Linked DNA regions of Elephas maximus indicus. The protein of the gene in region 2 interacts with the protein of the main gene of each other region in a pairwise test. Links are inferred from orthologs where the notes say so. Each region holds a gene or a part of one and is shown on either strand. Other genes may lie near its edges.

Region 1 (7,125 bases), on a different chromosome or scaffold from region 2:
TATTTTTAGCCCACGCCTCTTTCCTGGGACCTATATTTCCAGATAGAGTCCCCCTGGTGGTGCAAAAGGCTGATGCATGCCATTGCTAGCTGAAAGGTTGGAGGTTCAAGTCCTCCCAATGGTGCCTGGGAAAAAATCCTAACAATCTACTTCTACAAAATCGGTCCATTGAAAACCCTGTGGAGCACAGTTCTACTCTAACACACATGGGTTTCTACTAGTCGGAGTTGACTCACCAGCAACTAGCTTTATATCCAGATACCCACTGGGCATATCTATTCTATCTTCCCCAGGCTCTCAGAAAATCATCACCCTTCCCACCATATACCTCAAGAAATGGCACCACCATTTCTCAGACTGCACTGCCCAAACTCAGTCATCTCCAGGACAGAATCTTGGTTGTCCCTGGTATTCATAGTTAGCCCCTCATTTTTCCTTATATCTTCTCTACCATCCCTACTGAAAGTCAGTTGCCTCTGTTCCCTTCTCTCTGACAGCATTGTGGTTCCTTCCTGATATGCATCACGATTAATGATTATTTAGTTACTCATTTGTTTTATTGTTTGTGGCTCTTTTCCACCACCACTTCCCATACTACAGATTGCAGTGACCATGTCTTTCTTATTATATCCCCAGTACCTAGCACAATGGTTGAAATTTAGTGTTTAATAGTTGCCATGTGAAGATGAACTGCAAGCTTTTCTCACATGGATTCCTGCGAAAATTTCCTAATTGGTCCCTTTGTCTCTACTTGCCCACCTGCCCCAAATTCCAGACTTAATCCTGTAACCAGGTGATCTTTCTAAAAGACAACCCTGACCCTTACTCTCTGAGTGCTGGCAGGCTGCACTGTGGATCTGGGCAGGACTAGAAGGTCTCCAGTGAACGGTTGAATCTCCTCCCCTGCACTCTCCCAAATGTGGAAAGCAGCACTGCCTATCCTCGCTTCTTATTATTCTCTGACAAAAAAAGGTCTAGCTGCCAAATAGTCCATGATGTCATTGGTTTCCCCCTTGGATTGAGCTACTTTTCTACAATGCAAATCTGTGAGGCACATAACAAATACTGCTCAATAATAATTGCTTAACAAATTAACATGAGTTCTGTTTCAAACCTGTGGCTTGTGAGATCTTTGGTACCCTAGTTGGGGGTCCAAGGTGGATGGTGCTGTCTATGTAGAAAGAAAAGAGCCAGAAGGATTTACTTTTCACTCAGGGCCTCTGGGCCTCTGCACCATGAGCATGCTCTGTCCACTGGAGGCTGTCAGAAGTGGCCCCCTTCCCCTGCTTACTATGGAAACCAATGCCAGGACAGGCCTCTCCTCCTTTCCTAAGCCTGTCTGCCAAGAACGGCCTATCCCACAGCTGTTTAATCTGTTCCACATTATAGTTTGGAATAACCAACCAGCAAACTGTCTACTCCAGAAAATTCTTCATATACTTTCCATATACTTGCTGCATCCCTGAAGCTTCTATTTACAGAATCTTGATTTAAAGAATATCCTTTTCTTAGTTTCTTTGGGGAGATACTATCGTAAGTATCAGGCTTCTGCTTCTAAGCTGCTGCTCCTGAGAAGACTAATTGCCCAGATCAAAAAGGGCAGTCTCGTGGATACCGAGCAAGTCTAATTTATCCCCAACACTCTTGGAACATCGCTGGAGGTCCAGCCCCAAATCTTGACCCTTGGGTTTAAGCATTTGTGCATACCTCATGAGCACTGGTTTCCTATTCTTTCCCATAATGTCAGCTGTCATTTTCCTTATAGTTTTGAATTCTTGCATCTTTAGTTTATGGGTTGGCACCTTATTAAGTAGCTACAAAATCCTTCCCATGGCACATGTGCACGTGTTTTCTCCCCTTAAGCGCTATCCTAAGCTTTACTTTGTTTCCCCATCTTATTGAATTTTCTTCTTATTGGGAAATCGAGCATCTTCATCAGATCTTTTCCTGGGAAGAAAATAACAGTACCAAGGTATAGTTGGGCTTCAAGGGAGAGTAGCACCAGAGATTTACTCTGTACCTGATTTCAAAATTGAGAATCAGTTTTGAGGCTTTAATCTCTCCTAAAATAATCCCTATGTGGTTCTAATCCACAGGGTCTGTAAGAAGTGAGGTGTGAAATGAGCTGTGGCAGAGGTGCGGGTGTACTCTCCAGCATAGCGTCGGTGACCTCACCAGAATGAGGTCCAAGCAGGAACTCAATTATCCAGTCCTGCTCCAGGCAGCTACTCAAGCCTAAGGAGCTTTCTAGTTGAAGATCTGCTATCCCACTTCAGTAATAACTGATTTTTGTAACAGCTGTGCCCAAGCTTGCAATTTGATTTCATCAATTTGCTAAATCTAGGAGGGTAAACTGTGAGGATGTAGTTTTAATAAATTTGCATCAGCAGAAATTATGGCCCATGGTGAGAAATGAGCTGAGATTTAAATAATAGGCTCAAACGTCCTAATTTTTAAGACATTAAATGAACTTAATATTTAATTCAAATAATTAGAAAAATATAAAAATCCAAACTAAAGAAAGAAGAGGAAAATTAATGGAGGTTAAAGTATTATATTTAAGAAGCATAAGAGCAAAAAATCTATACAAGCACCATTCTAAAAAACAAAGAAATAAAGGTATATCATACTTCTGTAAGATATATTCAAGAAAATGTTAGAAATTTATAAATTAAAGAAGAAGCTAAGTGCAAAAAAAACAACTAAAACAGATCTGTATGATATGTAGGAATTATACTCGTGATGTGGGTGGCTAAGAAGTCCTGTTGGAGGAACCCATGGAAGAGTGCTTCTTCTAAAGGTGACACGTGTGAAAGAAAACCCAACGATAAGAATGAGACAGCACAATACACAGTAATGTGCCTCATAACATCCGTTCAGGCAATGTCCAACCACATATCTGACCCTAGCCCCATAAAGTTATAATAGAGCTCAGAAATCTTGATAGGAGAGCCAGACATGGCAGATTTAGGCATATCACACTGGACAATCACCACGATCCTCAAAAACAGAGAAAAACAAACTGTTAAAGGATGGGATCCACTGAAAACTACAATGCTAATGAAAATTGGAGAGGGACTTATATCAGACATAAAGAAATTGGTAATGATGTGGACTGAGGACCAAATACAAAAGCAATCCCTCTCACCACATTGACCATCACTGCTAAGGCACAATGCTTGTTCAAGATGCGTAAAGAAAAACCAAGATCAGACTGTGATATCAAGTCTATTGCTTGCTCTGGGTGGTTCAAGCACTTCAAACAACATTTTTTGCTGTTTAATGTGAAAGTAAATGGTGAGTCTGTGAGTGCTGATTCAAAGGCAGCAGAAGAATTTGTTGGAATCTTTGATAAAGTATTTGTAGAGGGAGGTTATTTTCCCCATGAAATTTTTAATATGGACAAAACCCACTTATTCTGGAAGCAAATGCCTGAAAGGACCTTCATCCATAATATGGTGTACACACAATGTCCCAATCACATAACATCCTATTTCATAGGACATATTGGGGATCTTAAGCGATGCATGACTGTAAATAAATAAATCTACTTGAGAAATAATAAAGTGAGAAATGAGGAAGGAGATATAACCAAGTTAAGAGAGGACTGTAGATATGTCAAGACATATTTTAAACAAGCTTTGGGTTTCAGGTGACAATAGCCAGACCTGAGATAGCATATTTAAGAGGAGCCGCTGATTTGAGGAAACTCAGCAAGGGCTGAAGGACAAAACTCAGCTCAGACCGAAGATACTGATCAATCTCAAGAGCCCTAGTCCCAGGGGCTTCAACGCAGGCCCCTTTTTTCACGGATACGCCCTTGGAGTGTCAGCTTCATCTTTGCCCACTGCCGATGGGTTTTCAGCACTTGGGAAACAAGACCATAAATATGTTCATCTTCTACCTTTGAACATGTGAGAGAGACTGACACATATCTATGCACCCCACATCTAAAAACAATATGAGGAAGGCCTTGGGTGAAGCTCCCAAAGGTGGGACCATTCAGGTGCTGCCAGAGGGTGGGAGTGGGATCATCTGAGAAGGTAGGAGCATCCACATGAACACAGAGTGGAGGTAGAAGTAATCAGGGGTGGGAGTGTTTTGGGCAAACAAGGAAAAATACATTAGCATACAAGCTTGTGCTAATAAATATGACAATCTTTGTATTATAGGAACTTATGGAAAAGTCGAAATGAAATAAATGTAACTCAAAGGAAATGGAAAACCAAAATCAATGACCATTAAAACACTAAGGGTTAGTAGCTTATTATCTCCAAAAACGTTCAGTTTTCACATGGCCTGATAGAGAATGACTTTAATTACATTCTGTGTTTCTCCTTATAATGCCTCTGGTTTGCTAGGGACAACATCAATTTTTATTGGTGTTTCTCAGGATTCCAATCTCAGACACCCTCCTCACAGTTTATACAGTTTCTTGGGCAATCCCGAATGCTCCCTTGGTTTAAATTATATTTATGATAGCCAAGTTTACACAACAGCATAGACTTTTCTCTAGGACTTTTGTATCTAACTTGATTCTGGTGGAATTCTGGTTGAACATTTATTCCCGTTGAACATTTCCTGAGAAACTTGACCTCAAGTCTCTCAAAAGCTTAAGTTATCTTTCCCCATACACCTGCCTCTTCTCCAGCGGCCACCCGCCTTGGCCCCTACCCCCACCTCTCTAGCCCAAACAGGAAATCTGAACTCATTCTTGCCATCTTGCTAGTGGAGGTCTCTAGCCTCTTCCCTGGCACCACTGCAAGACCGCCCCTTCGGGCTCGGCCCCGCCCCGCCCCTTTGGCTCTTGGCCCGGCCGAGGGCCCCCGCCCCGCAGCCTGCAGACGCGCAGGCGCGCTCTCCCGCTCCGCCCCGGCTCTCCGCTGCGGAAGGCGCCGCGCAGTAGCGCGCACTTCCTCTCCAGGAGTCCGCAGAGGGAGCGCAGATCCTAAGAGCTCCGGGACGCAGAGGCCCTGCCCTTGTCAGACAGAGCAGACATGTCGGAACAAAGTAAGGATCTGGGCTACTCCAGGTTTGCAGCCGAGGCTTCCCATGCCGAGGTGTGCATTAGCCCTGGGGTCCCCATGGAGGGTCCGCCGCCAGCCTCTCAGGCCGCCACCCTCGGAGAGCCGCAGAGCCTCCCTTTTAGCCCGATGGACGCCCCCCAGGCTTCGCCTTCGCCCCAGGCCCTAAGCGACGAGGGGGACATGAGGGCTCTGTTGCTGGAGGAGGAAGAAGACTGCGCCTGCCAGGCCCAGAGCGCGGCCCAGGCCCAGCCAGGCCTGGCGCCACCGACCCCTGCTCAGCTGGTGCAGAAGGCTCACGAGCTCATGTGGTACGTGCTTGTCAAGGACCAGAGGAAGATGGTCATCTGGTTCCCAGACATAGTGAAGGATGTCATCGGAAGCTACAAGAAATGGTGCAGAAGCATTCTCAAACGCACCAGCATCATCCTCGCCCGAGTGTTCGGGCTGCACCTGAGGCTGACCAACCTGCACACGATGGAGTTCTCGCTGGTGAAGGCGCTGGAGCCGGAGGAGCTGGACAGGATGGCGTTGAGCAACCACATGCCCATGACAGGTCTCCTGCTGATGATTCTTAGCCTCATCTACGTGAAGGGCCGCGGTGCCAGAGAGAGCGCGGTCTGGAACGTGCTGCGCATCCTGGGGCTGCGGCCCTGGAGGAAGCACTCCACCTTTGCGGATGTGAGGAAGGTCATCACGGAGGAGTTTGTTCAGCAGAATTACCTGAAGTACCAACGCGTTCCATACGTTGAGCCACCCGAGTATGAGTTCTTCTGGGGCCCCAGAGCTTGCCGTGAAATTACCAAGATGCAGATCATGGAGTTCCTGTCTAGGGTCTTTAAGAAAGACCCCCAGGCCTGGCCTTCCCGGTACAGAGAAGCTCTCCAGGAGGCCAGAGCCCTGCGGGAGGCTGAGACCATTGCCCACGCCTTCCGCAGCAGTATTTCCGAGGACTAGCAAGGTCGGGAGGCAGATTGATTGATCTGACCCTCACCAGTGCTGTGGAGGGGTGGGGGGCGTTAGAGTATTCAGGATTTACAGTGCAGTGTTTCACGTGTAACTTTCAGTTTTCAGTACAGTGCTTTTATACCATTTAATGCAATGTTGTATTCATTGGGGTATATTTGCTAGCGTTTAGGATTTATGCATGTTTGCTTATAAGTAAGCTTGCTTCATGCTTTCTCTCTTGTGCTACCTTTCTTGGGTTTTTGTACCAGAGACGTGCTAAACTTGTGAAATACATTGAGAAATTTTCCATCTTATTCTTTTATATGGAAGAGATGATGTATATTGGGATTAAGACTGCTCATGGAGAGTTTTGAAGAACTCTCCAGTAAAGCTGGCCAGACCAAGAGAAATGTCAAGGCCCCTCTCTGTCCTTGCTGGGCACAGGAAATACATCTGTGGGGAGTGGGAGTTCAGTGATTTGAACTGAAGTGGTCTCAATGTGGGTAGTTGGCACACTTTACTGAAAACAAGTACAGTCCCACCATCAGTAAACATTAAAGATCTTGTGATACAATCATTTTTGGAAAAGTGTCCTTTATATATGTTTTAAACAAAGTAGTATTGTTGGTAATGAGACAGCATTGTCAGTTTTACAAAATGTACAGACACAACTTGCTCAGCTAATAGGGTATAAAATCACTACTCATCATTGTCATGAGTCTGTGAAGCTTAGTTTTATTTTTTATGTAACTCACATGTTCGTTTCAGAAACTGACAAATACAGAAAAGTATAAAACAAGCAAAATTGCTCATAATCGCATTGCTCTATTAAATCACAGTTAATAGAGCAATTTCCTTAATTTCATTTTCTACATTTATTAAAATTAATAGCTTTAAAAAACTACGCTATGTTTTTGAGCATTTGAAGAGTGAAGCATTGTACTAAACACTTCCATGTATTTAATCCTCATAACAGCCCTGTGAGGCAGGCACTCATTACATCTGTACCAAGGAGGAAATTCTGGAACAAAAAATCATTAACTTTCTCCAAATCATAAGCTTATTAAGAGGAGGGGTTATAATTTGAATGCAGAATGAATCTACAGCTTATACTCTTCCCCACTGGCTCCCACCTCTTGACACCTGCCCCCAG
Region 2 (7,636 bases):
TTTAGCAGCCAATCTCTTAATCACTGTACCACCAGGGCTTCACTGTGACACCAGGGCCCCTAAAGCCAGTGTTAGTAATGAATTGGTCCAACTACTTTATAGAGCAATTGGACAACAGTGATTTCAAAACCCAGTTCTTTTCTCCTTTAAATTTTTTGTTGGTATTACATGTTTTCACTAATGAAGGCACGTTGATTAAAGGACCAATTCGGAGTTTTTCTTATGAGTTGTGGATTCTGATACCCAGTATCCGGATCACATGTGTCCCAGCAGCCCCTGGATGACGTAAATCCTGATGATATGAGTCAATGATCAAATCAGGTTTTTTTAATTTTTAAAATTTTATTTCTTGAACATTTGTACAACATGAAGGCATCTGGCAATGACTGCACATACATCTTATTCTAGTCTCCTTCTTCTTAGCCTTTTTATTTTTCATGAAACTTTTTTAAAAACACGGTACAAAGCATTCTTCCTTACTGCAAAAGTATACTTACCGCCCAAATAAATAACGCCAAGGGATTTTTTATCTCAGGAAAATTAGCAATACAATGCTTTCTTCATTATTGCAAAAGCAATACATACAGGCAAAATAAATAAAACTCAAGGAATTTGAATCTCAGGAAAATTATCACTTCTATGTATTCTTCATTATAACAAAAGCAGTACTAACAGCTAAGAAGCAGAAACAGCTGCCCTGGAACACTGCAGACCCGTTCACAGTGGTGCATTCTACCCGCTACACATGGAAGTAATGACTGGGCCCTAAGACTGAATGCAGGGTAAGAATAACTTATAGGAGTTCCAATTTCTTGAAAAGTACCACTACCCAGAATTATTCCTTATGGGAAAGGCATTATTTACCGCTCAGAAGCTGGAAAAGAAGGGAGCAAGTAAACCCTGGAAACAATGAATGACATGAAGTGGAAAATGGCCACTAGGACTGAATGAAGCCTGGCAATAGCTTACTCGCACAATAAGTACACTCTCACAGAACATGGTAACTGGGAAACAGTGAGGAGGCCTATCTCACAGACAAAAAAGGCAAACCTGTCAAAAGTTTAGAAAATTCATGTATCTGAGAGGCATCACCTAAGACAATGTTCATTTTACACAAAAATGAGGCTCCCACTCAGGACTTCTGAGCTTCATGCATTTCAAAAGGTTCCCACCCTGAGGCTAAATGTGTTAAAAGAACTCCAGAGGCATAAAAAGTGGACGGGATACCATATGCTTCATGGGTCTTGAAAGGGTCAAGATGCATGTATTCTGACCCAGAGATTCCACTGCTGGAATTTCCACATTGTTTATAATACAGAAAACTGGAAGCAGTCTATACGTCCTTTAACAGAAGAATAGATAAATAAATTGTGGTCTATTCAAACAATAAAGTAGACTCCAAAATTAAAAATCATGAATTGGAGCAATATGTCAACACAGATAAATCTAAAATAAGCATTGAATGAAAAATAGGAAGTTTGCAGAAGAAGGTATACAATATAACATCATTTATAGAGGTTTTTTAAAACATACAAATCAATACTATGTATTGTTTGTGGATGCATACACATAAAGTAAAACTGAAAACATAAATGGAAGGGCTCCATCTGAATCCGATGTGGCAAGATAGTAACAACTGTTGGATTTCAGTGGTGTATACACGGATGTTATGTCATTCTGTACTGTACGTGTCTTGAAGGTTTAAACATTCCTATTTTTTTCTTTTTAATGAAAAGATCTAGGCATTTAGAAATAAGGGTAACGGAGGATAAATGGCTGCATCAATCCTCAGAAAGGATGATCCACTGAGATGGGATTAGGAGAGGGGCTGAGTCCTGGTTCCAGGGATTAGGAGGATTAATTCAGATCATCTCCCTCCCAGCTGATCACCTGGCTAACATCCCCACCACTCCCAGCCCTTCAGAGAGTCATCCCGGGACCACATTTCACCCCACCCCGACACCTGCTAAAACCTTTCCTCCTGCCCCCACCCCCACCCCCACCCTCCACTCAGTACTGTCCTGCCAAGATTTACCCACATTTGGGTTCTGGGGATAGACTGGTTCAGGTCTCCTCTGAATGTTCCCCAAGTTCACGGTGAATGGTGACATGCACCCCAGGACCAAATGAGAGATTAGTCCTGACACTCAGGATCAGAGCTCCCTGAGGAAAGCCTGGGTGTCACAGTTAACTACAGCCTCCCCTGTCCCTCCCTCCACAGTCAAGAGGTCAGCAGTCAAGGCCAACTGCTAGCCAGACCCCACAGGCTGAGCCAGAACCAGGAGCTGTGCCGGAGCAGAAGGGACAACCACTGGCTTCCAGCATTGGCCTCTGTATGCCCAGGTCCTCTATGCCCTCCCCCTGCCTACTGCCGGCCCCTTTCCACCCCCTGACAAGTGTCCCGCTCCTCAAATCCTGACAGGTCTAATGTCTGCAAAGACCCTCCTGAAGAGATTGGGTGGGCTTGCTCAACTGCCTTTCCCCAAGACCAGATCACCTTGGCCACAGGATCTGGGGTGGAATCCTGTCCTCTGGGGAGCAGGTGAAACACCTTTGATGTCTCATTGTTTCTCAGAGTACCAGGCTGGGGGTGGGGTGGGGATAGACAAAAGAGTTAACAGGCAACATTTAACTGCATATCAGTGAAATCATATTTTTAATAATATGCTGTATGGTTGGAAAATTTACCTTTAAGTGTCAGGCATTTTGTCTGGTGCTGGCGACACACAGGTGATGGAGATACTTCCATACCTTCAAGAAATTGGGCAGACAGAAAGGTGAAAACCTGGTCTTGTCAATCCAGAGTGAGTGACTGGTGCTGTGACAGAGGAAGGATGACAGGGACCGTGGGATGGCACAATAGGGGCATCTGTGGGGTTGGGGTGAATGTCAGGGAAGGCTGCCTAGACGTGACTCTGGAACAGAGCACTTAAAGGTAAGTAGGGGGTGTCCAGGTGAAGAAGGGCTTCTTCCATGTAGAACATCATGGTGGAGGGTTGTGAACCTGGGAACCAGTGGGGATGAACACAAACAACATATGCCCATGACCTTGTGAGTGGATATGCAAGAGAAGGGATTGGTGCGTGCCCCGGCTTAGGAATTTCCCAACAATTTTCCAGATATATTGGGAAGCCTTAGTTCCCAAGTCGTTATGGGTTAAATTGTGTCCCCCAAAATGATATGTTGAAGTCCTAATCCCTATACCTGTGAATATGACCCTGTTATGGAAATAGTGTCTTTGAAGGTGTTATCAGTTAGGTTAACATGAGGTCATATTGGAGTTAAAAAAAAAAATTGCAGTGGAGTCAATTCCAACTCACAGGACAGAGCAGAACTGCCCCATAGGGTTTCCAAGCAGCAGCTGGTGGATTCAAACTGCTGACCTTTTGGTTAGCAGCCAAACTCTTAACCACTGTGCCACCAAGGCGCCTACTGGAGTAGGGTGGGTCCTAATCCAACATGATTTATAAAGGAGAAGATACACAGAGACAGGGAGACATGTGACGCTGCAGCTGCAACCAAGGAAATCTTGGAGCTGCCAGGAGCCAGGAGACAGGTCTGGAACAGATCACTTCTCAAAGCTGCAGAAGGAATCAACACTGCCAACACCCTGATCTCGAAGTCCCAACCTCCAGAACTGTGAGATAACGAATGTCTGTTCTTCTACGCCACCCAGTTTGTGGTATCTTGTTAAGGCAGCCCTAGGAAACGAAGGCACAAGTGTCCCCACTTCTTTCGGGCTGAGAACTGCAGAAGTGTGAGGACAAACGCATCGTCAAGATACACGAGCACACGGTGACAGTCTCTGAATGAATGAATGAATGAATAAGTGAAATAAGCCCTCTGGACTTCCAAACCGCCCTTTTACAAGAGTGAAAAACAGCGCCCACTCTGAGCAGGCAGCGGGGCAGCGTGGGATGGGGGTCTCAGCTCGCAGCCCATTGGATGAGGGGCGGGGGGTGGGGAGGCAGGGCAGAGGAGAGAGGAGGTCTTCAGGCGCCTCGGGCTGCGTAGGGTAACCGGAGGGGACCTCTCCTTAAGTGGGCTACTGGCTCAGGCTTGGTAGGGGGTGGCGAGGAAAACCCAGAGGGCCAGGGTCCGGGGACAGTTTCATATCCCAGGCCGTGGCTTCCCTCCTCCTGCCCTCAGGGCTCCGGGGTCGAGAGGCCACGGCGCTGGCCTGGGGCGCCAGAGGCCGGGGTCCGCGCCGACTGTGGGGTGGGGAGCGCCGGCCCTGCGGGTGAGGAGAGAAGGGAGTGTCGTGTTTGCGCGCTAGGAGGAAACAGGCCAGGGGCACTGGTCCATCTGTGTCCTTTCCCATTCCATCACTGCGCGCCCGGACACATGGTGGCAGCGGGGTCCCAGCGCACCGCCCAGTCGGGGCAGGACCCACCCCCAGGACCAGCCTCAAGCGGCCAGTTGCTCCCGTCGGCGATGCGGCCGGCCCCTCCCACTGCCTTCGGTGCCGGCACCAGGAAGGCACCCAGCGGGTCGGGGGTCGCCCCACCCCCGCGCGCCCGCCCGTCCGGGTCCGGGAGCCGGGAGGAAGGCGGGCTTCCGGGCGGCGGCGTCAGGTGGCCGCCAGGCCCCGCCCCTGCCCGCCCTCCCACCGCCTCCTGCGCACCGGCCCCGGTCCCCGGCCTCGCGGTGCGGCGTCTGCTCCGGGCGCGGCGGCGGAGTGGCCATGGAGGCCGGCGCCGGGGCCGGCGCGGGAGCCGCGGGCTGGAGCTGCCCGGGCCCAGGTCAGAACCGCCCGCCCTCACTCCTCACCACCCCCCTTCCTCTTCCCGGTCCCCCTCCCTCTAGGCCCCCAGACCCTCTCTCCCTGCAGGACACCCTGCCTCTCGGCCTCGAGTCTCCCTCCCTCTGCCCCGGCCCCCCACCCAGCCCGGGCCCCATCTTTCCCACTTCGGCCGCGCCCTTCCTGGCAGCCCCTCCCCGGAGCCCTCTCCAGCTCACCTCGCCGGCCTGAGAAGGGGGTCCGACCCTGCACACCCTCCGGCCCCGGAGGCTTCTGAACGCGGGGCGAGGGGGGAGGACGGGATTTGGAAAGAGAATGCAGGGGTGGGGGCGGAGCGGCGCAGTCCAGCCCCGCAACCCCTTCCCACAGCCCCCATCACTTGCCGCCCCTTCCCCGAGCTGCCTCACCATCTCGGCCGCATCCTTACAGGCTCCTGCCCTCTGTCTTGCATCCTGGCCCACCTCCTCCCCGTCCCCTGCCGGCTAAATATACACACACCTTCCTTCTGTCGGAGCTAGGAGAGGAGCCCGGAACAGGGGTGCTGACGAGGCAGGCGGGGGTCCCGTTGGCTGAGAGAGGGGAGTCTCAGAGCTGGGCAGAGGGAGGCAGGGACCTCCACTGGGATTAAAAATCCCAGGGCTGAAGGATTGGAAGGCACGTCACCTTCTCTCCCACCACCCCAGGCCCGCCCCTGGCATCCCCCAGCCCTTCCTCTCTGCCTGTTCACAGGAGCAACAGTAACCACATTAGGCTCCTTTGAAGTATCTGAGGGTTGTGAGAGGAAGAAAGGCCAACGCTGGGGGTCTCTGGAACGTCGGGGGATGCAAGCTATGGAGGGTGAGTTTTCTCAAAAGCTTCCCCCACCCCCATTTTCTTTCCTTCCATCTTCCTCCCTCTGACCCTCAGTGCTCCCAGCCAGGAAACAGTCCTTCGCTCAGTTTATCTCAGCCCCCTCCTCTCTTGTCTGAGCGTACCCTTCCCCAGGGCCCAGGCTTTGAGGGAAGTCCTGGGCTAATCTCTTTGGTGCCCCAGTCCCCATCTAACCAGGTTGTGTGTCCCAGGGGAGCTGCCAGACAGAGAAAGAAGCCTTGTTGGACAGAACGTCAAAGGATCCTTTCAGCAGGGGCTGTTCTCCCTGTCAGATCTAAACCCAAAGCGCCCTTATTTTGAAAAAGCAGGCAAGTGGGCATGTGCACTATCTTCCTGATGCCACCACGGCTCACTTCTGATGAAGCTTGTGGCTTTGGTTCTCTCTGGTATCTTACTGCCTGAAAAGACAGGGCCTAGCAGGGCCAGGTGAGAAGGCCAGCCTCCCACCACCCATCTCCCCACTAAACTCAATGTGACTTGGCAGTGGCTGCCAGCCCATGCCCTTGGAAGGATGCTGGTTTATTTTCCAGGACTTCTGTGAAGTGTCGCCAGGCCCCTGTGCACACTCAGTGTGGGCAACCCTGCTCCCCCCATGGAGGACAGGTGATACAGGGGGCCCCAGGTGAACCTCAGGCTCCTGATATCGGAGAAAATAAGACCAGAGAGTCAGATTCTAAAACAAAGCAAGCAGTTGCCACCCAGGCAAGATTTTGCTATTTGGAGGAACTGCATTGCAGCAAGGAGGGGGGGCTCACCAGCCGGAGGAGGGGACAGACACACCCCAGTTTCTGAATGCATTAAAGGATGGACTTCCTTTTACACTCCAGTCCAGCCTAAGACTTCCCCTGAGAACCACCTTGTGGTCAGCAGGAGGAGAAGCCCCGTGATGCCCTGGTAGGACAGGGGGGACCTCATGCCACCCACAGGGAAAAGGAAGGTAGACTTTGCAGAACACTTCAAAAAAGGCTATTTGATAATATACCTTTGTAAGGGCCCCACTGTTTGTCCAGTGAAACATTTAGAATCATTTTGTGTGATATTTTCTTTCTCTACCTCCTTTCATGTAATGCTTTTTACTATGTATTAAAAAAAAAAAAAAGTTGCCATCAAGTCGACTCTGACTTATAGCAGCCCTGGGTGTGTCGGAGTAGAACTGTGCTTCACAGGGTTTTCAGTGGCTAATTTTTCAGAAGTAGATTGCCAGGCCTTTCTTCCCAGGTACCTCTGGGTGAATTCAAACCACCAACCTTTCAGTTCACAGCTGGATGCGTTAATCATTCGTACATCCCAGAGACTCCTTTCTTACCATGGAAAGGCTAATTTCTCACAAGCCACCTGGTTAATTTTTTAACTTTCCACAAACCCCTAAACTAACCCTTGCACCATTTGGCCTGAAGACGTAGCCAATGTCTGAATTATTTCTTAACTACTTGCCCCACGACCCAGAGGCCAGGACTAGAAGAACCAGGTATCCTTGTGCAAGCTCCATATGGCTGAGCCAGCACCAGCCTGCTCCGTTTGCCTGAAGGTAGTAGTAGGAGACCACCAAGTGTAACATTGGTCCAGAGGGCCTGTGAGGGGGAGGGGCTGCCTCCAAACTTGACCCTCACACCTGAGTTCTCACTGGAGCACAGGCCTGCCCAAGGGCTCCTTGGGGGACACCAGGTGGCACTGTTAAACCATCTGTGTCTTGGGATAATGAGTTCGAGGGCCCTCAAAGGGCTGCAAGTAAGGTGGCTCTGACCCCCTAGTGGGATGGGTGTCTCTCCTAGGGGAGGTGTTACTTCCAGCTCTCTATGAGGAGGAAGAGGAGGAAGAAGAGGTGGAAGAGGAGGTGGAAGAAGAGGAAGAACAAGTGCACAAAGGTGGCAGCATGGGCTCCCTGTCTGTCAGCAAGCACCGGGGCCTGAGCCTCACGGAGACAGAGCTGGAGGAGCTGAGGGCTCAGGTGCTGCAGCTGGTGGCAGAGCTGGAGGAGACAAGGGAACTGGCGGGGCAGCACGAGGACGACTCCCTGGAGCTGCA

What was found. The genes of interacting proteins can lie anywhere in the genome.
Region 1: the proteins of CCDC136 (region 2) and NDN interact in a two-hybrid assay, tested with the Homo sapiens proteins (2 studies listed by BioGRID). The link is inferred for Elephas maximus indicus from reciprocal best matches to the Homo sapiens genes CCDC136 and NDN.

What each region holds. Positions count from the first base shown.
Region 1 is NC_064831.1:99,136,062-99,143,186, reverse strand, and holds NDN (necdin), read left to right. Parts: upstream 1-4,877; 5' UTR 4,878-4,997; coding exon 4,998-5,981; 3' UTR 5,982-6,543; downstream 6,544-7,125. UniProt on the Homo sapiens protein: Growth suppressor that facilitates the entry of the cell into cell cycle arrest.
Region 2 is NC_064826.1:21,273,105-21,280,740, reverse strand, and holds the start of CCDC136 (coiled-coil domain-containing protein 136), read left to right. Parts: upstream 1-4,612; 5' UTR 4,613-4,684; coding exon 4,685-4,742; intron 4,743-5,470; coding exon 5,471-5,578; intron 5,579-7,383; coding exon 7,384-7,636. UniProt on the Homo sapiens protein: May play a role in acrosome formation in spermatogenesis and in fertilization.